Saccharomyces cerevisiae S288C: one gene and its partners. The protein of the gene in region 2 interacts with the protein of the main gene of each other region in a biochemical or structural test. Each region holds a gene or a part of one and is shown on either strand. Other genes may lie near its edges. The genes, in order: CLP1, YSH1, YCK1 and GLC7.

Region 1 (5,925 bases), on a different chromosome or scaffold from region 2:
ACCAAGATTTTTGGTAGATGGAAGTGCATCTCCATTATTAGTGGTTTGTTATGTTGCGCTACTAGGTTTAATCTTGCCATATTTTGTTAGTAGATGGTGGGCAAGAACACAATCGTATACTAAGAAGGGAATACATAATGTGACGGCTTCTAATTTTGTTAGTAACTTAGTCAATTACAAGCCATCTGAGATTGTCACCACAGATTTGATCTTACACTGGTTATCATTTGCTCATGAATTTAAACAATTCTTCCCGGATTTGCAACCAACGGATTTTGAAAAACTTTTGCAAGATCATATTAACCGCAGAGATAGTGGTAAACTTAACAATGCGAAATTTAGAATAGTGGCCAAATGTCACTCTTTGTTACACGGTTTATTGGATATTGCTTGTGGATTCAGAAATTTAGATATTGCATTGGGTGCAATCAATACTTTCAAGTGTATTGTTCAGGCTGTACCATTAACACCAAACTGTCAAATCCTTCAATTGCCGAACGTAGATAAAGAGCACTTTATTACCAAAACCGGAGATATTCATACATTAGGTAAATTGTTTACTTTAGAAGATGCCAAGATTGGTGAGGTTCTTGGAATAAAGGATCAAGCAAAGTTAAACGAAACTTTGAGAGTTGCATCGCATATTCCAAATCTAAAGATCATCAAGGCAGACTTCCTTGTCCCAGGTGAGAACCAAGTAACACCATCATCTACCCCATACATTTCTTTGAAAGTACTGGTTCGTTCTGCTAAACAGCCATTGATACCAACTAGCTTAATTCCTGAAGAAAATTTAACAGAACCTCAAGATTTTGAATCTCAAAGAGATCCATTTGCTATGATGAGTAAACAGCCACTCGTCCCATATTCCTTTGCACCATTTTTCCCTACAAAGAGACGTGGGAGTTGGTGCTGTCTGGTAAGTTCTCAAAAAGATGGTAAAATACTTCAAACGCCAATTATCATTGAAAAGCTATCTTACAAGAACTTGAACGATGACAAAGATTTCTTTGATAAGAGGATAAAAATGGATTTAACCAAACACGAAAAATTCGATATAAATGATTGGGAAATCGGGACCATAAAAATTCCATTAGGTCAGCCTGCACCTGAAACTGTTGGTGATTTCTTTTTTAGAGTAATCGTTAAATCCACAGATTATTTCACTACAGATTTGGATATTACCATGAATATGAAAGTTCGTGATTCTCCTGCAGTGGAACAAGTAGAGGTGTATTCTGAGGAGGATGATGAGTACTCTACTGATGACGACGAAACCGAAAGTGATGATGAAAGTGATGCTAGCGATTATACTGATATCGATACGGATACAGAAGCTGAAGATGATGAATCACCAGAATAGATATAAGTGATTAGTATAGTTTTTCATTTTAGCTCTTAGACGTATATATTTCATCTTTATAAAAATAGATACATGTGTATACAAAGCAAAACCAAAAAAAAAAAAAAAATTTTTCAGCCATCTGTTAAGAAATGTGTTTTTTCAATAAGATAGCATCTTGTTCGTCGCCATTTACACCTTTTATGAAATTGTTGACAGTTTCGCCCACTTGTTCGAAGCCATGAGCTATAAACCATTGCTTTGTAAGATCATCCACTGCTGGTAAATAGACAAACACGTTATGTTGATGACATTCTGAGCATTTGTCTTCTGCAAACTTCAGTAATTTTGAACCGATGGATTTGTGCCTATAATTAGGCAACACGCCCAAAAATTCGATTTGAATGCCCTTGAGAGATAGTTCGTTTTGTTTTTTAGGAACTAATTTAGCAACCAAACCACCCACTGGTATTTCACTGTAATAAGCCATCTGTGTGAAATGTACATCCTTCTTCGAAGATGGCTTTTTATTTTTTGCAACTAAGCTATCCTCAGCGAATAATGCACTGAAGAAGGCATCTTGATATAAGTTTGGTACTGTCACATGAGCTAGTTTGGTTAGCATGCCCAAATTGTTAGCGTAAACATTGTCTAATGTGCATATATCACGGCCCATATTTCGCACTACTCCCTTCAATTGTCTTTGCCAATTTGTTTGTTACGGATTAATTTGTGAAAAAGCTTCGCTAATAATATCAATTTTCTTTTTTTTCTTTGCTTTTTCTACTATAATATACATAAAATTATATAAAGAGCATATAAACCATAAAGATTCCTCTGCGACACTTCTTATTCATTTCCTCCAACGACTTGTTCACCTTTATCATTAATTCTGATCAATCTTAGAGTATTCAAAAGGCCAAAAGTGCCATTCCAGTTTCTTAGAAATTCCATATTCTTCGCATCACTCAAGTCTGGACAGAGAAACCCCGCCTTAAATTCTTTTAACTCTTGATCCCTCCTTTGTTGCAGTAGCACTTGTCTATTGCTTGGTGGCCTGTTTGACCTCCTCTTCTTCTTGAGTTCGTCTAATTCCGTATCATCTCTTTCAATAAAACTTTGAATAAACTCTCTTGTGTGGGCGTGATCAAATATTGGTTGCCCTTTGAATGTATCAGAGTTAACTACATCCTGCATAAATTTTACCCGAGCTAGTTCGTGGACTCTTTTGTCTTGATGAAGCTTCTTTTTGGCTGCGATTTTATCTTCACGCATAGTAGCCCTGACCAGCTTTTCATACTTTCTACCCTTCGGATGAACCGTGATATTTTTCCCTTTCTTGGATAAGTTCTTTTGCAACTTAGATAAAGATTTAGTAACCGGCATGATTAGTTTGTCGTGGTAAGTCCTGTTCCGATACTTTTCTTCTTAGAAAGTACCTTTAAAGAGCTCATCTCTCATCTCGTCTATTAAACCATTTTAAAATTTTCGCTCGGGATGTTCAGCTGTGTACAATAATACAGCGTAAGTGCATTCAAACAATGAGGACAAAAGCATAAAGTTGTGAAGAAAATTGCCCATACATTCAATGCCATTATTTGATCTTATTTCTCCAAAAGCGTTTGTTAAGTTAGTGGCCAGTGAGAAGGTTCATAGAATCGTTCCAGTTGATGCAACATGGTACCTACCCAGTTGGAAGCTTGATAATAAAGTGGATTTCTTGACCAAACCACGTATACCAAACTCCATTTTCTTTGATATTGATGCAATCAGTGACAAAAAATCGCCCTATCCACATATGTTCCCTACAAAGAAGGTTTTTGACGACGCTATGAGTAATTTAGGAGTTCAAAAAGATGATATATTAGTGGTTTACGATCGTGTTGGTAACTTTAGCTCCCCTAGATGTGCTTGGACATTAGGAGTGATGGGACATCCTAAGGTGTACTTACTAAATAATTTCAACCAGTACAGAGAGTTTAAGTACCCTCTAGATTCCTCTAAGGTGGCAGCGTTTTCACCCTATCCAAAGAGTCATTATGAGTCCTCAGAAAGTTTCCAAGACAAGGAGATTGTAGACTATGAGGAAATGTTCCAATTGGTAAAGAGTGGGGAACTGGCTAAGAAATTCAATGCTTTCGATGCAAGGTCGCTCGGTAGATTCGAAGGTACAGAACCAGAGCCTCGTTCCGACATTCCATCGGGGCATATTCCAGGTACCCAACCATTACCATATGGAAGTTTACTTGATCCGGAGACCAAAACGTACCCAGAAGCTGGGGAGGCGATACACGCTACTTTGGAAAAGGCATTGAAAGACTTTCATTGCACTTTGGACCCAAGTAAACCAACTATTTGCTCTTGTGGAACTGGCGTTTCAGGAGTCATTATCAAGACAGCATTGGAGCTAGCAGGAGTTCCCAATGTTAGATTATATGATGGATCCTGGACCGAGTGGGTCTTGAAATCCGGGCCCGAGTGGATTGCTGAAAACAGAGATTAATAAGAGAAATATATTCTTGACAAGTCGATTTATTTAGCTACATATATTAATTATCTATCTACTTACTTAAAGGGCGATCTCCCTTTCTTTGTCTTATTTGTGCTCTTCATTGTTATTGCCCGGTAAAATAGAAAATAACAGCAAAAAATAAGACTGCTGGCAAAAATGAGCAGAGACCTTTCTATCGAGGGAAAAGAACAAACTATTAATTCTTTTCGAAATTCCAACACGATTAAACCATCATGGCAAGTCTACCTGGTATTGATGAGCATACTACCTCTGAAGAATTGATAACTGGTGATAACGAATGGCACAAGTTGGTTATTCCCAAGGGCAGTGATTGGCAAATTGATCTTAAAGCAGAGGGAAAACTGATAGTCAAGGTAAACTCGGGCATAGTTGAGATATTTGGCACCGAGTTGGCAGTAGATGATGAGTACACTTTTCAGAACTGGAAGTTTCCCATATACGCTGTCGAAGAAACAGAATTATTATGGAAATGTCCTGATTTAACTACGAATACAATAACTGTCAAGCCTAACCATACTATGAAATATATTTATAATCTACACTTCATGTTGGAGAAGATACGAATGTCTAACTTTGAAGGCCCTCGAGTGGTGATTGTTGGTGGTTCGCAAACCGGGAAGACTTCCCTATCGAGGACACTATGTTCTTACGCTTTGAAATTCAACGCTTACCAACCACTATACATCAATCTTGACCCTCAACAGCCCATTTTTACTGTTCCTGGATGCATATCTGCCACCCCAATATCAGATATACTTGATGCACAACTACCCACTTGGGGTCAGAGTCTCACTAGTGGTGCCACACTACTACATAATAAGCAGCCAATGGTGAAAAATTTTGGCCTGGAAAGGATTAATGAGAACAAAGATCTATACCTTGAGTGTATAAGCCAGTTAGGTCAAGTAGTAGGTCAAAGGTTACATTTGGATCCTCAAGTCAGGAGATCAGGGTGCATTGTCGATACGCCATCAATATCACAACTGGATGAAAATTTGGCTGAACTGCACCATATCATTGAGAAACTCAATGTTAACATTATGCTAGTACTATGTTCTGAAACGGATCCTCTTTGGGAGAAAGTAAAAAAGACATTTGGTCCAGAATTGGGAAATAATAATATTTTTTTCATTCCTAAATTGGATGGTGTATCCGCAGTTGATGATGTATACAAAAGATCCTTGCAGAGGACATCCATAAGAGAGTACTTTTACGGCTCTCTTGATACAGCCTTGAGTCCTTATGCTATTGGTGTTGATTATGAGGATTTAACTATTTGGAAACCTAGCAATGTTTTCGATAACGAGGTCGGTAGGGTGGAACTGTTCCCCGTCACTATAACTCCAAGTAACCTACAGCACGCTATTATAGCCATAACGTTCGCAGAAAGAAGGGCAGATCAGGCAACAGTAATAAAATCGCCTATTTTAGGATTCGCTTTGATTACAGAAGTTAATGAAAAAAGGCGTAAATTAAGGGTTTTACTACCTGTCCCAGGCCGACTTCCCAGCAAGGCGATGATTCTAACTTCATATAGATATTTAGAGTAAGTAAAATTATCTGTTCAAGAGCCTTATATCAAATCCATACAAATATCGTACTGTACTGTCGAAGTATTGTTTGGGTGATTTTTATTTTTAATTTTTCCAACGCTTATATATTAACAATATTGCCAATTTGTGTCTTTGACATTATTTGCGCTAGCTAAAAAACTGCTGCAGTTTCATCGAGGAATATAAAAAACGACGAGAGTTAAAAGGAAAAGGCAAATCAAAACTGATCAGAAAAATGAGTAAGTATGGTCCATTGGGTATTACTAACTTTATTACTCCGTACGATCTATGCATATTAATCCTAATACATGCTCACTGCTCACAAGATAATGGCATATCAGTGCCAACAGCAGTATTTCTTCGGTTAATATCCCCTACTAGACCTTCACTAGAATGGAATCCTCTGCTCAAGGATAATAGTAATTTAAGATCTTCATCTATTGTTCCTCCTCCTGTACTTCCTATTCTAGATAATATAATAAGGATACTGTTAGATG
Region 2 (6,974 bases):
TATTTGGAATTTTTCGCCCCGGAGGATAGACTATTTAGAGAATGTCAAGCTGCTGCGGGTCAAATTTGTCAGTTATACAAGATATTCCATCAAAAAACGCTTAATGGTCATTCTACACCAGCAGTGCATACGGTTTTTGTAGCTGGCGTAACTTTAATCTACTGTATGTGGTTAGCCAGGAATTTTGACGATCAAAGGAGGAAGAAATTAGGCGATGCTTCGAAGCATACTAGACCTTTAATCAGTGCAAGTCTCTTTTCGACGATGGATGATTTGAGAGCTTGCTCCGTTTGTTTATATGTTATGACAGAAAGGTCTAATTTTGCAAGAACCTTTAGAGATACTTTCGATCAGTTAATGAATGCCACGGTAGGTAATTTGATTGAAAGATGTGGTCCAGACTCTTCTGAGTTAATTTTCATGGCTAGTAGTGTCGCCAAGCGTACTGAACCCAAGAACATCAATGATGAGGCCAATAAGGCAATTTCATCTGGGGATACTCTTCATGATTCTAACTCCGCAAATGCAGCTAATCTATCCAATTCAAACGATAAAAATATATCTCATAATGGCGGTATGCCGCCTGCTGTGGCTAGAATATTTGGTAAAGGACAAGCTGAAGAGCACGCCGGTTTTGTGGAAAATTCACAAGTGGATTTGGCTGAACAAGAGAAATTCAAGAAGAAGCAAGGTGTTTTAGAAAAGACCTCTGTACCCAAAAGTTTAGCTCACCTATTAACCAAAATGGATGACAGGTCACGTATTTCAAATTCTTCAATGTCTTATACAACATCTTCTTCGTCATCATCTTCTTCTTCGTCATCATCGTCGACATTATCGTTTCCTTCTTCCCAAGAAAAAAACCTGAAAATCAATGTAAACAATGATAACAATGGTATGACCATCAGCAGCGTCAACAGAGAACACAACAATAATCACAACAATAATAATGATAATAATAATAATAATAACAATAATAATAATAATAGTAATAATAATAATAATGTTAATAATAATGATAATGAAAGTAATAGCAGAAGCACTACCAACAACAGCTGCAATAATGGCAACAACAGCCAGTATGTTCGTAACAACAACGTAACTATGGAAAATGATGTAGAAAGGCCTATTCAAGACCAATATATCGTCAAGAAACCAACCAACCAAACAGAGTTTGATTGGCAAGTATTTCAACAGCAGGCCTTTCTACAACAGCAACTAGCTCAGCACAATTTACAAGCGTATCTATCGTCCCTGAACACCGATACTATGACCAATAGAAGTCCTTCAAAATCTTCTAGCATATCTACAGCCTCTTCGCATTCGGATCCGATTCCAATAGCGATGACGCAAAGCCCAACTCCATATCCTCAAACTTCCAATATGCTACCGCAACAGCATGTATCACGACCACTGCCGCAACAACAGCGGGAGCAGCCACAACAACATATTACTTCTCCACAAAGATTCTCAGAAAGCAATTTTACGAATCAATTAAACAATGGTATGATCAACAGTAATCCTCTACAATCTGCAATATTCTCTAACCATACAAGTGAAAATAAGCAATTAAGAGATGTCGAAGAATCAAATTTCAGTACATCACCCCTAAGAGCAGATTATGGCAATAATATTATCTCCTCGATACCAGCGTCATTTACTAGCAATTCAATTCCGGTCAGTGTCAAACAAGCTCGAAATGGCTCTTCTTCGGGCGATATACTTTTCAGCAACGGTGCTCATGACATGATCAACAATATTTCCACCTGGACCAATAACTCCGTTCTAGATGCTTTGAATAGCAAGTCCATACTACAAACAATATTTCCCCAGAGTCAAGAGCCTTCATCTCTGTCCATGGACAAACAGCAGCAACAACATCAACAACAAAATATGTGTTCTGAAAACAATGTAACCGCTAATAATTTTCAACAGACGCAGAATGACCCTTCGTATAACAGAAATTTGTTCATGATGTCCAATCAGGAAGGTGTACAATATAATCTTGACGAAACAGAGAAGAATGGACCTAAAACACAGGTGGAAGCAAACACTAGCGCAAATCTGCATTTCGACAATGTTATTCCTACAGTAACTAACGCAGACATCAGGAAAAAGCGTTCTAACTGGGATAACATGATGACATCTGGTCCGGTAGAAGACTTTTGGACGATTAATGATGACTACGGCTTTTTAACGTGATACTACATTAATATAATAGTATGTACAAACTCATTCCTTTTTTTTTTTTTTTTTTTTTTCTCTTTTTTTTTAAAAGAACAACTAAATCGCTTTTTTTAATTATGATATGGGTCATATCTTATAAGCCTAATCTAAAACACATTTTTTTCTTTCATTTATATTGTTTTTAAAATCAATAAAACTCTTTCTTTCCTGTATAAAGTCCTCTCCAAAAGACTAAGTAGCGTGTTTGCAAATAAATACGGGTAAGCAGTTATTCTGGCCGAAAATTATGAAAAACTAGCGGATCTTTAACAACTTCTACTGCTTCAGCGCAATACATATTGAGATCACATCTAATAGGTTCAAAATGTTCACGGGTATAAGCGTTTATTTCTTTTACCCTTGTTTTCAGTACTTCAAAAGTTACAGCACAAAAGAAACATTGTATTATCAATTGAATTTTGTCCATTGAGGAAATAAAAAGTAACATAATAAGTTAACATTAATAAGTATACGCATATATGGAGCGAACAAATACAACAACATTCAAATTTTTTTCATTGGGAGGAAGTAACGAAGTTGGACGATCATGTCATATATTGCAATATAAAGGTAAAACAGTGATGCTCGACGCAGGAATTCATCCGGCATATCAAGGATTAGCTTCATTACCTTTTTACGATGAATTTGATCTTTCCAAAGTCGATATCTTACTGATATCACATTTCCATTTAGACCATGCCGCTTCACTTCCGTATGTGATGCAACGGACTAACTTTCAAGGCAGAGTTTTCATGACACATCCAACCAAAGCCATTTACAGATGGCTACTGCGAGATTTTGTAAGAGTTACTAGTATAGGTTCTTCATCCTCCTCTATGGGGACTAAAGACGAAGGTCTATTCTCAGATGAGGATTTAGTTGATTCTTTCGATAAAATTGAAACGGTGGACTATCATTCTACTGTTGACGTCAATGGTATCAAATTTACGGCATTCCATGCAGGCCATGTATTGGGTGCAGCGATGTTTCAAATAGAGATTGCTGGCCTTAGGGTGTTATTCACAGGTGACTATTCGAGAGAAGTAGATCGTCACTTAAATTCTGCTGAGGTGCCTCCACTTTCATCCAACGTATTAATTGTGGAATCTACCTTTGGTACCGCTACTCACGAGCCCCGTTTAAATAGAGAAAGGAAGCTAACCCAACTAATCCATTCCACAGTGATGAGAGGAGGCCGTGTTCTACTGCCTGTTTTTGCTTTAGGGAGAGCTCAAGAAATCATGCTTATACTGGATGAGTACTGGTCTCAACATGCTGATGAACTCGGTGGTGGACAAGTCCCAATATTTTATGCATCAAATTTGGCAAAAAAATGTATGAGCGTTTTTCAAACCTATGTAAATATGATGAATGATGACATTAGAAAAAAATTTAGAGACTCTCAGACTAATCCCTTCATATTCAAAAATATATCTTATCTTAGAAACTTGGAGGATTTCCAAGATTTTGGTCCCAGTGTGATGTTGGCCTCACCAGGTATGCTGCAAAGTGGGTTATCAAGAGATTTACTTGAAAGGTGGTGCCCTGAAGATAAAAATCTAGTACTAATCACCGGTTACTCCATCGAAGGAACAATGGCGAAATTTATTATGCTTGAGCCAGATACAATACCTTCCATAAATAATCCGGAAATAACCATTCCAAGACGTTGTCAAGTTGAAGAAATCTCCTTTGCCGCACACGTTGACTTCCAGGAAAATTTAGAATTTATTGAAAAGATTAGTGCGCCAAATATCATCCTTGTTCATGGAGAAGCCAATCCCATGGGCCGTTTGAAATCTGCATTGTTATCCAATTTCGCGTCTTTAAAGGGTACAGATAATGAAGTCCATGTTTTTAATCCTAGAAACTGTGTTGAAGTAGATCTTGAATTTCAAGGTGTCAAGGTTGCAAAAGCTGTGGGAAATATTGTGAACGAAATATATAAAGAAGAAAACGTAGAGATAAAGGAAGAAATTGCGGCTAAAATTGAACCTATAAAGGAAGAAAACGAAGACAACTTGGATTCTCAAGCAGAAAAAGGTTTGGTTGATGAAGAGGAACACAAAGACATAGTCGTTTCTGGGATTCTAGTTTCAGATGACAAAAATTTCGAATTAGACTTCCTTTCTTTGTCTGATTTAAGAGAGCACCATCCCGATCTTTCTACAACGATATTAAGAGAGCGCCAGTCAGTTCGTGTAAATTGTAAAAAGGAGCTAATTTACTGGCACATTTTACAAATGTTTGGAGAGGCTGAAGTTCTTCAAGATGATGATAGAGTAACAAATCAAGAACCAAAGGTTAAAGAAGAGTCAAAAGACAATCTGACCAATACAGGTAAATTGATTCTACAGATAATGGGTGATATTAAGTTAACTATTGTTAATACTCTAGCCGTTGTGGAATGGACTCAAGATTTAATGAATGACACTGTAGCAGACTCCATTATTGCTATACTTATGAATGTGGATTCAGCTCCCGCCAGTGTCAAGCTTTCGAGTCATTCTTGTGATGATCATGATCATAACAATGTGCAGTCTAATGCACAAGGTAAGATTGATGAAGTTGAGAGGGTGAAGCAAATCTCAAGGTTGTTTAAAGAACAGTTTGGTGACTGTTTTACTTTATTTCTCAATAAAGATGAATATGCAAGTAATAAAGAGGAAACTATAACTGGAGTGGTTACCATAGGTAAAAGCACTGCTAAGATTGACTTCAACAATATGAAAATTTTAGAATGTAATTCAAATCCTTTGAAAGGTAGGGTGGAAAGCCTCTTAAATATTGGTGGTAATTTGGTCACACCGCTATGTTAAAAACAGTTACGCATACTAAGTAGACTACTTTATAGAAGTAATACCAAACCAAAATCTGGTTAGAACTGCCTTTTATTGTTTACCTTAATCACTCTTTACGTAATGAAACCTAGAGATGAAATTTTAAAAATTTTTTTTCACGAACATAAAGAATAACTCTTCTAGACCATCTCATCTCATCTCATCTCATCTCATTTCATTTCGATTCTTCTAATTTCTTTCATTGAGTAAGAGCCTTTTGTTTTGGCTGATAGTTATAGTCAATCTACAATTTATCTCACAAAAGAAATAGACTAAGCCAAAACTGCAACGAAAGATCAAAAAAATGAGCTATGAGAAAAAGTCTGTGGAAGGCGCTTATATTGACGATTCTACAACGTTCGAAGCATTTCATCTCGACTCTCGTTTATTACAAGCTATTAAGAATATAGGATTTCAGTACCCAACATTAATTCAATCACATGCTATTCCTTTGGCTTTACAACAGAAGAGAGATATTATAGCAAAGGCCGCTACAGGTTCCGGAAAAACTTTGGCATACCTCATTCCTGTAATTGAAACTATCCTAGAATATAAAAAAACAATTGATAACGGAGAGGAAAATGGTACACTAGGTATTATACTTGTTCCAACAAGAGAACTGGCTCAACAAGTATATAATGTTTTAGAAAAACTAGTCTTATATTGTTCAAAAGATATAAGAACTCTGAACATATCATCCGATATGTCTGACTCAGTTTTGAGCACTCTACTTATGGATCAACCAGAAATCATAGTTGGTACACCTGGTAAATTATTGGATTTGTTGCAAACAAAGATTAATTCTATCTCATTGAACGAACTAAAATTTTTAGTAGTTGATGAGGTGGATTTAGTGTTAACATTTGGTTATCAAGATGATTTAAACAAAATTGGAGAGTACTTACCATTGAAAAAAAATTTACAAACATTTTTGATGAGTGCAACCCTAAATGACGATATACAGGCTTTGAAACAAAAATTTTGTCGTTCTCCAGCTATTCTTAAATTCAATGACGAGGAAATAAATAAGAACCAAAACAAATTACTTCAATATTACGTTAAAGTCAGTGAATTTGACAAATTCTTACTATGCTATGTCATTTTTAAACTTAACTTAATCAAGGGTAAAACATTAATTTTTGTAAATAATATTGACAGAGGATATAGGCTCAAGCTAGTTATGGAACAATTTGGTATCAAGTCCTGTATTTTAAACAGCGAGCTACCCGTTAATTCGAGGCAACATATTGTTGACCAATTCAATAAAAACGTTTACCAACTATTGATTGCCACAGATGACACCGAGTACATAAAAGAGGAAGATGACGAAATAGAAGAAGGGCACAATACAGAAAATCAAGAAGAAAAAAGCTTGGAAGGCGAGCCTGAGAACGATAAGAAACCAAGCAAGAAAAAGAAGGTCCAAGTGAAGAAAGATAAGGAATATGGTGTTTCTCGTGGTGTTGATTTCAAAAATGTTGCATGTGTCCTCAATTTCGATTTACCTACGACGGCTAAGTCCTACGTGCATAGAGTAGGTAGAACTGCTCGTGGCGGAAAGACCGGTACTGCAATTTCATTCGTAGTCCCACTGAAAGAATTTGGTAAGCATAAGCCATCAATGCTACAGACAGCAAAGAAGGATGAAAGGATTCTTTCACGAATCATCAAACAACAGAGCAAACTTGGATTAGAATTACAGCCTTACAAATTCGATCAAAAGCAGGTCGAGGCGTTCCGTTACAGAATGGAAGACGGTTTCCGTGCTGTTACTCAAGTTGCCATTAGAGAAGCTAGGGTCAAAGAGTTGAAACAAGAACTATTGGCAAGTGAGAAGTTGAAAAGACATTTTGAGGAGAATCCAAAAGAGCTACAAAGTTTAAGACACGATAAAGAATTACATCCAGC
Region 3 (6,259 bases), on a different chromosome or scaffold from region 2:
ACCGTGGCATCATGGACATCGGTCGACTTCCCTGTCGTTTATGCAAGTGATGGATCCAGTGGTCATGATGGTTCAGGAATTGGGTTCATAAGTAACACAAGTATTCCACAAGGTGCAATTTCTGCTGGGTACTTGTCACCAATCCAAGCGCAAACTTTGTTGTCTATTGCTATCCATAATCAAGTCACAAGTAGTAGCGAGTTACAACAAATCTTCCCTGTTAGTCAACAATAAGATGATTATGTGTTGTGTACTACGAAAATAAGCAAAAAATAAATAAAATAAAAACAAAAACAAAAACAAAAACAAAAACAAAAACAAAAACAAAAACACATATTGTTATGATGACTGGACGAAAGAAAGATCGTCGTTACTTTCCTAATTGTTTGTCTTCAGTACAGTTATTATCAGTGTTCTCTTTCTTTTTTATTGTACTATGTGATGTTACTGATACATCACGCGCTTCCTTTATGTTTTCTTTTTTTATGTTCGTTACAGGATTTATAGTTTTTACAGTATATTGACTTCAATAATTTCTAATATTCAGTTCCTATTAAATTTGATTATTCCGATTAGATCGGTCGGCGCTACCAAAAAGAGGCGAAGAAAAGAGGAAAACGCAAGTGGATAAAGGGGTGGGGGGCAAAAGTATTTAAGAAAAAGCGATGCGATGGAGAGAACAAATGGATAAGTTGCGTTTCCTCGTTATATTACAACATTTAAATCTATTGTGTAACAGACTATAGCATATATATGAAGGCCAGTTACTTAGTTTTGATTTTCATTAGCATATTCTCCATGGCACAGGCATCTTCCTTATCATCATACATCGTAACTTTCCCCAAGACGGATAATATGGCTACGGACCAGAATAGCATTATTGAAGATGTCAAAAAATATGTGGTGGACATAGGGGGTAAAATAACACACGAATATAGCTTGATAAAGGGCTTTACAGTGGACTTACCTGATAGCGACCAAATTTTGGACGGTCTGAAAGAACGTTTGAGCTATATTGAAAGCGAGTACGGTGCTAAATGCAATTTGGAAAAGGATTCAGAAGTTCATGCTCTAAACCGTGACCATTTAGTTGCTTAGAGTAATTTAAAATATACGCGACTATAACTTTTTCCCAACTTTTATACAAAAAACTACAATTTATATATGATATGCAAATAACACATAGGTTTAATCTTCACTGTTCAACTTTTATAGTTGTCAAAAAATTCTTTTATGCCACTACCGATTCTTTTGGAAGCTTCAATCAACTGATCATCATCCCTTGCATAGGCGATGGTGAGTCTTAGAAAATCTGAATTCTGCTTTGAATAATTTGGGCAAACAGCCATTTTATAACCAAGCACTACTTTAACACCATTCTTCAGCAAGAACTTATCTAAAATATCCATCTGTTGCGGCAAATCGTCAGGTCTATCGAAATTCCCCCAATTGATTTTAATAATGATGAACATACCCGCGGAGGGTTCCATAACGGTAAACTGACCAGCTTGGTAAGATTCTGTTTCGTATAAGGCTTTCAAAGTAAGATTTTTCCTATGATTGTATTTAGAAGCAATCTGCATTATCCATCTTATCCAACCCTCAAACATTGCTTCTTTCATAGAAAGAGAGGACGATAAGTTGGACTCAGCCATTGCCTTTATTGTAGAATAAACAATAGCTTGTGAGGTACCACTGGGGGCCCTTGTAGTAATGTCGGCCAAATCCAAGATTTTTTGCAAAAGGAATTTATTAGCAACGATGAAGGATAACCTTAATCCAGGAGCAAAAATTTTAGAAAAAGTCTCCAAACGGATGACACGGGCATCTGTATCCAAAGTCAAGAATGATTTCATTAAAAAATCATTCAAATACCGTTCAGTAGTCAGGTCGCTAGAATGGTAAGGGTTTTCTAATGGCTCTTGCGGATTATAGGAAGGAAAGTACAGATAACCGTAGGGATCATCTTCAACAATGAGGAAATCGTGTCTTTGGGCCAACTGGTAAATTTTCTCTCTTTTCCACTGGGGGACAGACATCCCGGTAGGATTTTGGCCCGTTGCAATGGTATATAGGACCCTTGGCTTGTTTAAGTCTTTGTATGGTCCAGTTGACCAATTATCGAGCAACTGCGTTAGATATTCGACATCAATACCCTGGGACTCTCTGTCGAAGGTCAGGTTCATCTTGATGGGGATGACTTTTGCTCCTGTAGCCTCCACATTGGACATAGCCGGGGTGAAAGTAAACTCTTCAATCATCACAGTGGTCGATTCGTCGCAAATTGTTTCAAAAACCTTAAACATTGAATCGTTGGACCCGCCAGAAAGGATGACATCCCAGTTAGACTCCGTCTCATCGGAAAAGGCTGGGCGATTAATTCTGGACACAAAATCTTTAACAAAATGTAAGAGAGGGGGTAAACCCTTGGTTTCTGCATATTGGAAAGAACGTGCAATGGGTAGCTCACTGGGGGATCCCAAGTCCAAATGCGCCGTGGTAAACGAATTATGCCATTTTGGGTTATCATTAAAAGGAACTTTTGATATTTTCAAATCCATAGATTCGATAGGAAAAAATCTCTCGTTTGGCATTCCACCAGCTAGCTCAATGACGTCATCTGAGATATCAGAAGCATCCCAAAAGCTTTTCAGAGATCTATTTTCTACTCTTCTGGAGAGAAACGGTTGGAAGTTCTTCTTTAAGGAAGTGTAATCAACAGGGGGGGCAGAACCAGCAGTCATTGAGTCGATGAGAGAGTGTAATTGTGGTATGTGTGTATTTTTATGTTTACACTGGGATATTACAAGACCAAATCAAGCTTTTTCCTTTATATATATCAAATATTTATAATGTTTCCTACCCCAATGATGGTTCGGTTATCCGCGGCAAATCTCGGTAAGCATCGGCAATGCTTCCGCGAGTTACCGCTTTTTTTTTTTTATTCCTTTGTTATTATCTACGGCCGTCGGCGGCAATAGTATTTTTGCTCACGTGACCGACAAGGGTCCATTTTATTGCGGTACGGCTCTCTCTTTTTTTTTTTCTCCTCTTCAACTTCTCTCTGATTGCAAACAATATATAACATAACCATGTTCATTACGTACGAAAATATATATACATAAATGCATGGCAGTTATGGCAATTACAACTACAACGCCGTAAAGTTCCAAACGCAGCGGCCTGAGATAGTAAATGATGTACGCACGTGGGCGAAAGTTCATTACTTTGACTGTTGTAACATACCGTATCTCTCTTTTCCCACGTGCTCCGCTCTCTTATCTACCTTGGCGGTACAGCCCTGCGCGGAGTCACTGCAGCCACGTGCCTAGATCTATTACTATGACTTCCCATGGGCACATATACGCCATTAATATACAATATATATAACGTTCATATATGGGTATTTACAGAGAGCCAGGGGCAAATTGGACAGATGTCTCCACGCGGCAAAATGGAAACAGCAGTTTCACAAGGACAACACAAACAACTTAAAGATGGTCACCAGCATAAGGGAAGAAAACTCTCCGAGGAGATCGCTTCTCTATTGAGGCTCAAAGAGTGCAGGAGGCTCAATCCTGCTAGTTACTATACTCCACGTAGAACATCGCAGTCACAATCTCTCAGTGGATCAACTTTTAAAGAGTATAACGAGTACATTAATGAGAAAGATTCAAGTAGAGCGCAGCGTCAAAACGCTGCCGCCGTTTTAAGCAAGCTCGCCCATGACTTTTGGGAGAACGACTGTGTCATTGACGAAGACATATTCGAAGATTCGTCTGACGAAGAACAATCATGATTGCATCTCTTAATCGTTACACATACATACCTTCTACCTCTGTACTGTTACATATGCATTGACTTTACGATCTAATATAAATCCTTTTGATGTTACCCCGCCTGTGGGCTCGTTCTCCTTTCGTTTCTTACGATTTTTTCGCCGGAACAAGAAAAAACAGAACAAAACAAATCAGCGATCGTATACATGGGTCTTTGATTTCTGCTTGCTTCTTACAAACAACAAACGCAAACCGTTCATTGAGTGCTCTGTGACTGGTTTTCATGTGGATGCCATAGTAGAGAAAAGACACATACAAAAATTTCGCGCATTCGCTGGCCCTTTTCCTGCTCTCCTCTTCCCCATGTCCATGCCCATAGCAAGTACCACTCTAGCAGTTAACAACCTCACCAATATAAACGGAAACGCAAATTTTAACGTACAAGCAAACAAACAACTCCACCACCAGGCTGTCGACTCGCCCGCAAGATCTTCGATGACCGCCACGACCGCCGCCAACTCCAACAGCAACTCTTCCAGAGATGACTCTACTATTGTCGGCCTACATTACAAGATCGGCAAAAAAATAGGGGAAGGTTCCTTTGGTGTGCTATTTGAAGGTACTAATATGATCAATGGCGTACCCGTCGCGATCAAATTCGAGCCCAGAAAAACGGAGGCCCCTCAATTAAGAGATGAATATAAAACATATAAAATTCTGAATGGCACTCCCAATATCCCCTACGCGTACTACTTCGGCCAAGAAGGTTTGCACAATATCTTGGTCATTGATCTTTTGGGTCCCTCTTTGGAAGATTTATTTGATTGGTGTGGAAGAAAATTTTCTGTCAAAACGGTTGTGCAAGTTGCTGTCCAAATGATTACTTTGATTGAAGACTTGCACGCACATGACTTGATATACCGTGATATCAAACCAGACAATTTCTTGATTGGAAGGCCCGGCCAACCTGACGCAAACAACATCCATTTGATCGACTTCGGTATGGCCAAACAGTATCGTGATCCGAAAACTAAACAGCACATCCCATATAGAGAGAAAAAATCACTCAGCGGCACTGCCAGATATATGTCCATTAATACTCACCTTGGAAGAGAGCAGTCCAGAAGAGATGATATGGAGGCCTTGGGTCACGTTTTCTTTTATTTCTTGAGAGGCCACTTACCCTGGCAGGGTTTAAAAGCTCCAAACAATAAGCAAAAATACGAAAAGATTGGTGAAAAGAAAAGATCTACTAACGTTTACGATCTAGCTCAAGGCTTACCTGTGCAATTTGGCAGGTATCTAGAAATCGTCAGAAGTCTTTCCTTTGAAGAGTGTCCCGATTATGAAGGCTATAGAAAACTATTACTATCTGTACTGGATGATTTAGGTGAAACCGCGGACGGCCAATATGATTGGATGAAACTGAACGATGGCCGTGGTTGGGATCTTAACATAAACAAGAAGCCAAATCTCCACGGATACGGCCATCCAAATCCACCAAACGAAAAATCGAGAAAACATAGAAACAAACAGCTCCAAATGCAACAGCTCCAAATGCAACAGCTCCAACAACAGCAACAGCAACAGCAATATGCTCAAAAAACTGAGGCAGATATGCGCAATTCTCAATATAAACCAAAGTTAGACCCTACTTCTTATGAAGCTTACCAGCATCAAACCCAGCAGAAATACCTGCAAGAACAACAAAAGAGACAGCAGCAACAAAAACTTCAGGAGCAACAACTTCAAGAGCAACAATTGCAACAGCAGCAACAGCAACAGCAACAGCTACGTGCAACAGGCCAACCTCCATCTCAGCCTCAAGCGCAAACTCAATCTCAGCAGTTTGGCGCTCGTTATCAACCACAACAACAACCTTCTGCTGCTTTAAGAACTCCTGAACAGCACCCAAATGACGATAATTCAAGTCTAGCTGCTTCTCATAAGGGCTTTTTCCAAAAATTAGGTTGTTGCTAAATATAGAAATGACATTTTTTGCAAGACTACCGTCTTTCTTACATTTTTTGTAATGTGAATATATCTGTATACTTTACAACCGAAACGACATTTACCATACTTATAATTTTCGAGTTCTTCGCTGTGGACAAGAGATTAAGTGAGATCAATAACTTCGATAAGAGTATCTCCCGGGAGTACCTCGTCATCATCATCAAGGATTACAACTTCTAAGGAGCTGCTAATATTATCACTTATTATTTGATCTTTGTTATTCTTCGTCTCTCCGCACCAGCGATCATCTCTATATCTCCTTTCGGCTGCAAAAGCCGCCAACTCTCTCGGGGAATTACCTCTATCTATAGATGATATACCCTCTGGATGCAAACTCCCTAACTTCACACCTTTGCCCCTTTTTCTCACTATCCCTGTGTTAGTACTTATTCCTGTCATAGGATATCTATTTGAACGTAAGTTTGCTCTTCCACCGAGACGTTGACCGTTCCCCAAAAATGTGTCGT
Region 4 (6,223 bases), on a different chromosome or scaffold from region 2:
TGGCGCAATCGGTAGCGCGTATGACTCTTAATCATAAGGTTAGGGGTTCGAGCCCCCTACAGGGCTTTCTTTTTAACTTTTTGCGCGTTTGAGATATATCTAACTACGGCTTTTATGCCACACTTGCATGGATAATGATTTTAAAACATGCAGTTCGTTTTAAGTGAGCCCGAGTTTCCTCACTTCCATATTGACGATCGAAGAAAAGCGGTGAATTCTGGGGGCAGTTGTTGAGACTACATTGCTGATGAGGGCTGTATATTTTGTTACTGATAATTACTATGATTCTATTATTTGATGGGGTAGTACTATTGGGTAAATAGAAAATATTAGAACTTTTTCTCGGGAACCTATTTGTTAAATAAAACCCAACTAACTATCGTCTATCGACTGGTATTCATATCACTATTATATTATCACGTACGGTATAAGAAGATGTCATAGAGATTGAGAAATAGTCACCAAATATAATAGCACCTGAAATGCAAGAACTGATAACGTAATAAGAAAAAGAATGACAAAGTATAAAAGGAAGAAGATAAAGTAACATTATTATGTAGAGCTATCGATTCGCCTTTTGTAGATTCCTATTTTTTCTCGAGGAGAATTGCAGCATATTCGTTCTACGTAATATTGCAGCCTTTAACAACAATGGAATCCAACAACTGTCTCAAATTGTTCACCCATTCCCAATATACCAGTAACATACGCACTGATTAATAGAAGCCAATTAATTTCTATTCCAACAAATTTACTGAAGATTCCTTTGGATTCCAAACAATTTCGTAATTGCTCAAACAATTCATTAAATATTTACACAAAAGTACAAAATAAGGATACGGTTCTTGTTGTATCTCAAAATGAGATACGTCAGTATGACAATACGTCATCCTAAACGTTCATAAAACACATATGAAACAACCTTATAACAAAACGAACAACATGAGATAAAACCCGGCCTTCCCTAGCTGAACTACCCAAAAGTATAAATGCCTGAACAATTAGTTTAGATCCGAGATTCCGCGCTTCCACCACTTAGTATGATTCATATTTTATATAATATATAAGATAAGTAACATTCCGTGAATTAATCTGATAAACTGTTTTGACAACTGGTTACTTCCCTAAGACTGTTTATATTAGGATTGTCAAGACACTCCGGTATTACTCGAGCCCGTAATACAACAGTTCTCCATTGAAAAGTCGCCATCTTAGTATAGTGGTTAGTACACATCGTTGTGGCCGATGAAACCCTGGTTCGATTCTAGGAGATGGCATTTTCTTTTTTACCTGTCTTATTTTAGACAGGTTGACGTGATTGACTAAATGATTTGGCCAACTTGTTTATAAAAGGGTTCAAAGCCAAAGGAAGACGTGACCATTCTTAACAGTGCAACGAAAGACAGCCTCAATATAGAGTTAGACAAAATAATAATATAGTAATTTAACATAGTTTAATATAAAAATAAGTAAAAAAATAATAATACTAATAATAATAGTAATGATAATAGTAATAAAAGAAAATAAAGAAAAATTGCATTTCGTTAATAATAATAGTGTAGACTTATCATTTTTCCACTAATTCAAATCCTTCACATCTTATTATTATCTCCTTTTTTTTATATTTTTTTTATGTTTCTTATGCTTTTTCGCGGTTTGTTGCACTAAAGGGAATTATTTGTGTATATGACGAGTGATGATTGCATCTTCCTTTGTTTTCTTGATGTTTCTTTCGTATTCTTCGCTTAAAGAATTGACTAAAAGTTTTCTACGTTTATGTTTCTTGTATTTTTCTTCTACTACTCTTCTTGTTAATAAGTATTTTCCTTTTTAAACTTTGATTTAGGACGTGAATCTATTTATTTTTTCTTTCTACCCCCAGCTTGCCTTGGTAGACTTTTTTGGGCTGGCTTTAAAATTTGAAAAGAACATAATAAACTTTCATCAACACTCATCATTGCACCAGCGTTATCAAATTCACCACAATAATTCGGAGCACTGAAAAGTGTCACCAATTGTCTTTTACTAAAGAATTCATAACCATCTTCCACAACTTGATGGGCCCTGCAAATCAACTCCATATCTTGTTTCTGTAAAAATCTGTTCACTACATCAGGACCAAAAGTGAAAGAAACACCTCTATCATTTTCACTCCAACCTACGATATCTTTATCTGGATCTGACCACAATAAGTCACATAATAAGCCAACGTCGGGAATATCTGTTGGCCTCATCACCCTTCTGATCTGTTCCATACTATTCAAATCTGGTGAGAGACCACCATGCATACAGAAGATTTTCTCATCAATAATTGCAGCAATTGGTAAACAATTGAAACAATCCGTGAAAGTTTTCCAAAGTTTGATATTATAACGTCTCTTACATTCATCATAAAACCCGTAAATTCTATTAATGGAAGCACATTCATGGTTCCCTCTTAAAATGAAAAAGTTTTCTGGATACTTAATTTTGTAAGCCAGTAATAGACAAATAGTCTCTAAGGATTGTTTACCACGGTCGACATAATCACCCAAAAATAGATAATTAGATTCTGGCGGGAATCCACCGTACTCAAATAGACGTAGTAAATCATAGTATTGCCCATGAATGTCACCACATATCTAAAAAAAAAAAAAATAGAAAAAAATAAGTTAGTAAATGAATTTGTCACTAAATCTAGCTCATTCCGTTGACTTTAAGAGAACAATTACTGCTGTCAAAAACGCTTCATTTCTCCCAATGCCTTCTGCAAATCCACATTTCTTGGTTTTCGTCCGACCTTTCTCTCGGGCTCAAAAAAAAAAAAGATTCGTTTTCTTCATAACGAAAAAATGCCTTCTTTTTTTAGTGTGAGCAAGGGGGATTTTTCTGAATATGGGAGGCGCCGGCCGGATGATGATACAAAACATAAGGAAATCTTGGTAAAAAAATGCCTAATAAGATAGAAAAATGAAGAGCTAAACACACACATTATCTCGGCTATCTCGACATATGAGTAGGCTAACATCAGATGCTTGGTAAATTCTTTCAGTCAAACGGAAATAACTGCTGTAACTATCTTACTGCCGCAACAGGAGTAGAACACATAAAACACCTGAAGCTCTAGGCATTCTATCTCTTGACTGCGAAGTTCAACATTAACATACTTTAATTGGGGCTTCTAACTCTAGTAAAATGGGTTGCTTTATGAATATAGATCTGGCTTTCGAACATAAGTATCTGATTTCATTTTCTTCTAGATCAACTTGTTGACCAGGTTTAGATCCTCTTACTTCCAATAATCTATCGATGATATTATCAACGTCAACTGGTTGTGAGTCCATTTCTTTAATTTGAATGTATATTGTGGTAATCTGCTTTCCTCTCCCCAGTTACTCGTTCGTTCACCTCTTATTTTTTTTTTCAGTTGTGGTGTTAACTTGTGTTACGTTGTTTTTTTCTTCTTCTTTTCTACTTTTGATTTTTTTTTCCCTCTCTTGTTCCTTGAAACGAACGCTAAAAGAAAAAACAGCAAGAGCAAGAAAAAAAATGGGGGAAGAGCGAATAAGCAATGATTGTTATCTACATAAGGGGTAATTTGGCTAGTTTCTAACTGTCATCCCCATGCAGCCTGTCAAAGACTGATATATGCAGTCAAGAAATAAAAAACAAATTGCAATAAGCTCTCCACTATAGATGGCACAAAAACAGGTTAATAACAAGTAGTTATTACATTCCTCAACGAGATGAGCCAACAAGCAACCAATAGTGCACCTACTTGTCTAACTTTAATTGAGGTTGTGCTCACAAGAAATGTTTTGCCAGGTATCTACCTCAATTGAATAACAACCGCAAAAGCTTTAGTACTAAATTGTCTCTCACCTTGTCTTCAAGAAAAGGGGAAGGTAGATGAGAGAGAAGTCTTGCAATTTTTCTCAACCTTTCAACTCGAATGGAAATCAGGTTGTAAGGGAAGCAATGAAATGTCAGCAAACAGCCACTGACTGTAATTCTTTTGTTGGAGTAAAAATCAACTATCATCTACTAACTAGTATTTACGTTACTAGTATATTATCATATACGGTGTTAGAAGATGACGCAAATGATGAGAAATAGTCATCTAAATTAGTGGAAGCTGAAACGCAAGGATTGATAATGTAATAGGATCAATGAATATTAACATATAAAATGATGATAATAATATTTATAGAATTGTGTAGAATTGCAGATTCCCTTTTATGGATTCCTAAATCCTCGAGGAGAACTTCTAGTACTTTCTACATACCTAATATTATTGCCTTATTAAAAATGGAATCCCAACAATTATCTCAAAATTCACCCACTCTTCATCTTTGAAAAGATAATGTATGATTATGCTTTCACTCATATTTATACAGAAACTTGATGTTTTCTTTCGAGTATATACAAGGTGATTACATGTACGTTTGAAGTACAACTCTAGATTTTGTAGTGCCCTCTTGGGCTAGCGGTAAAGGTGCGCATTTTTTCACACCCTACAATGTTCTGTTCAAAAGATTTTGGTCAAACGCTGTAGAAGTGAAAGTTGGTGCGCATGTTTCGGCGTTCGAAACTTCTCCGCAGTGAAAGATAAATGATCTACTATGATGAATGACATTAGCGTGAACAATCTCTGATACAAAATCGAAAGATTTTAGGATTAGAAAAACTTATGTTGCCTTCCTTCTGAAATTTATTTTTTGTCACTATTGTTATGTAAAATGCCACCTCTGACAGTATGGAACGCAAACTTCTGTCTAGTGGATAACAGAATTTTTCTATGGCCAATTTATTCTTTTTTTTTTCCCTTTTCTTAATGTGCGTATCATTGCCGGGTTTGAAATTTCGAAATTAACTACTAAAAATTACCGCTTTAATGTATGGAATATGTGTATCTTGCTAGTTTTGCGTTGCCCTCGCGATATCCCTATACGCCCACAGTGCAAACACAGTAGAGCTTTGTGATAATACTCGCAAGGAATACAGTACATCAAAAACTTATTACACAGGCTTTCCAGTGCACTCACACCCACTTTACTGTTTTTTCTGCTTTTTTTCTGCTTTTTTTTCTTTTTCTTTTTTTCATCTTACTTACTTGAGCCTAGATAATAGAAGATAGTAAGTTTGGCAGAGCCCAGTCACAAATACAGATTAACCTCTAACAAAGTCCACATCGACACCGTTTCCAACTTGATATCATAAACTTTGGATATTGTATTAAAGTTACCAGTATCACTTTTAACAAATTTTTTTTTTTTTTTGGCTATGCTCATCGTTGCCTGAGTATTCTTTAGTCATTTCCAGTTTCTTCAATAACAAAAAACATTAGTACGCGTTTCTATAATTAGGTGAAAGCATAAAGTTTTTAAAAATGACCGTATTACAACCACCATCTAGTGTTTGTTATCCGCTCAACCTCCCTATTGTACCGAATCCCAATCTGGATGAAGCAACAAGGAAGAAGCTCACTTTGGAATGCAGAACTGGAGCTGCAGTAGAACTAGCCCGTTCAGGTGTTTTTGTCCATGGTGGGCTCACACTACCTTTAAATCTGACTATTATAAATTCATTACAACTGCAAAAGGAGCTAATTCTATATTTTGGTAAACAGAAGGATAGAAATGCTGATTTTAAAACATTAGCTGATTGGATAAGCCCTGAGATATTTTTCCTTGATTTAATTTCCAGAACATGGCAAAGAATAAATACTACAATAGATACTACATCAGAAAATGAGTTGAATAACGGCTTAAGCTTTAAAGAGAGATTGTTTCATTCGATGTGCTTCACAGAATCCAACATTTACATTTTCGGTGGGCTTATGGTGTCGCCTCACAACGGCTATGAGCTGATAGCAACAAACGAATTATGGAAATTAGATCTTAAAACAAAGTGCTGGTCTTTGATAAGTGAAAACCCTCAAATTACAAGACGTTTTAATCATAGTATGCACGTCCTAAATGAAAATAACGAAAATCAAGATACGAAGCTAATCATTGTAGGTGGGTTAGATAATATGGATATTCCTGTTAAAAAAATTGATATATTTAACCTACGTACAAGTTTATGGGAGTCAGAATCGAAATCGGACGAAAACCCAGCTTCAAAGGGGTCGTCAAAAATACTGGTTAATATTGATGGGATGCCAATTTCTTTATCTCACGATTCCAACTTCTCAGTTCTGATTGAAAATAATCAGGCAGAAATTCCGACATTGGCATTATAT

The links.
Region 1: the proteins of YSH1 (region 2) and CLP1 form a complex in vitro, tested with the Saccharomyces cerevisiae proteins (3 studies listed by BioGRID).
Region 3: of the proteins of YSH1 (region 2) and YCK1, one has a biochemical effect on the other in vitro, tested with the Saccharomyces cerevisiae proteins (one study listed by BioGRID).
Region 4: of the proteins of YSH1 (region 2) and GLC7, one has a biochemical effect on the other in vitro, tested with the Saccharomyces cerevisiae proteins (one study listed by BioGRID).

What each region holds. Positions count from the first base shown.
Region 1 is NC_001147.6:800,470-806,394, reverse strand, and holds CLP1 (cleavage polyadenylation factor subunit CLP1), read left to right. Parts: upstream 1-4,087; coding exon 4,088-5,425; downstream 5,426-5,925. Other genes in the region: protein-transporting protein SEC63, read left to right, coding at 1-1,363; peptide alpha-N-acetyltransferase subunit NAT5, read right to left, coding at 1,488-2,018; TMA16 (Tma16p), read right to left, coding at 2,192-2,728; TUM1 (thiosulfate sulfurtransferase), read left to right, coding at 2,931-3,845; APC5 (anaphase promoting complex subunit 5), read left to right, coding at 5,664-5,925. UniProt on the Saccharomyces cerevisiae protein: Component of the cleavage factor IA (CF IA) complex, which is involved in the endonucleolytic cleavage during polyadenylation-dependent pre-mRNA 3'-end formation. Associates with HRB1/CF IB to form the cleavage factor I (CF I) complex.
Region 2 is NC_001144.5:695,227-702,200, reverse strand, and holds YSH1 (cleavage polyadenylation factor subunit YSH1), read left to right. Parts: upstream 1-2,705; coding exon 2,706-5,045; downstream 5,046-6,974. Other genes in the region: YLR278C (uncharacterized protein), read left to right, coding at 1-2,202; DBP9 (ATP-dependent DNA/RNA helicase), read left to right, coding at 5,371-6,974. UniProt on the Saccharomyces cerevisiae protein: Component of the cleavage and polyadenylation factor (CPF) complex, which plays a key role in polyadenylation-dependent pre-mRNA 3'-end formation and cooperates with cleavage factors including the CFIA complex and NAB4/CFIB. Has endonuclease activity.
Region 3 is NC_001140.6:372,194-378,452, reverse strand, and holds YCK1 (serine/threonine protein kinase YCK1), read left to right. Parts: upstream 1-4,142; coding exon 4,143-5,759; downstream 5,760-6,259. Other genes in the region: SPS100 (Sps100p), read left to right, coding at 1-234; YHR138C (uncharacterized protein), read left to right, coding at 754-1,098; ARO9 (aromatic-amino-acid:2-oxoglutarate transaminase), read right to left, coding at 1,203-2,744; SPL2 (Spl2p), read left to right, coding at 3,353-3,799; metalloendopeptidase WSS1, read right to left, coding at 5,895-6,259. UniProt on the Saccharomyces cerevisiae protein: Casein kinases are operationally defined by their preferential utilization of acidic proteins such as caseins as substrates.
Region 4 is NC_001137.3:429,595-435,817, reverse strand, and holds GLC7 (type 1 serine/threonine-protein phosphatase catalytic subunit GLC7), read right to left. Parts: upstream 3,324-6,223; coding exon 3,147-3,323; intron 2,622-3,146; coding exon 1,860-2,621; downstream 1-1,859. Other genes in the region: PMD1 (Pmd1p), read left to right, coding at 5,369-6,223.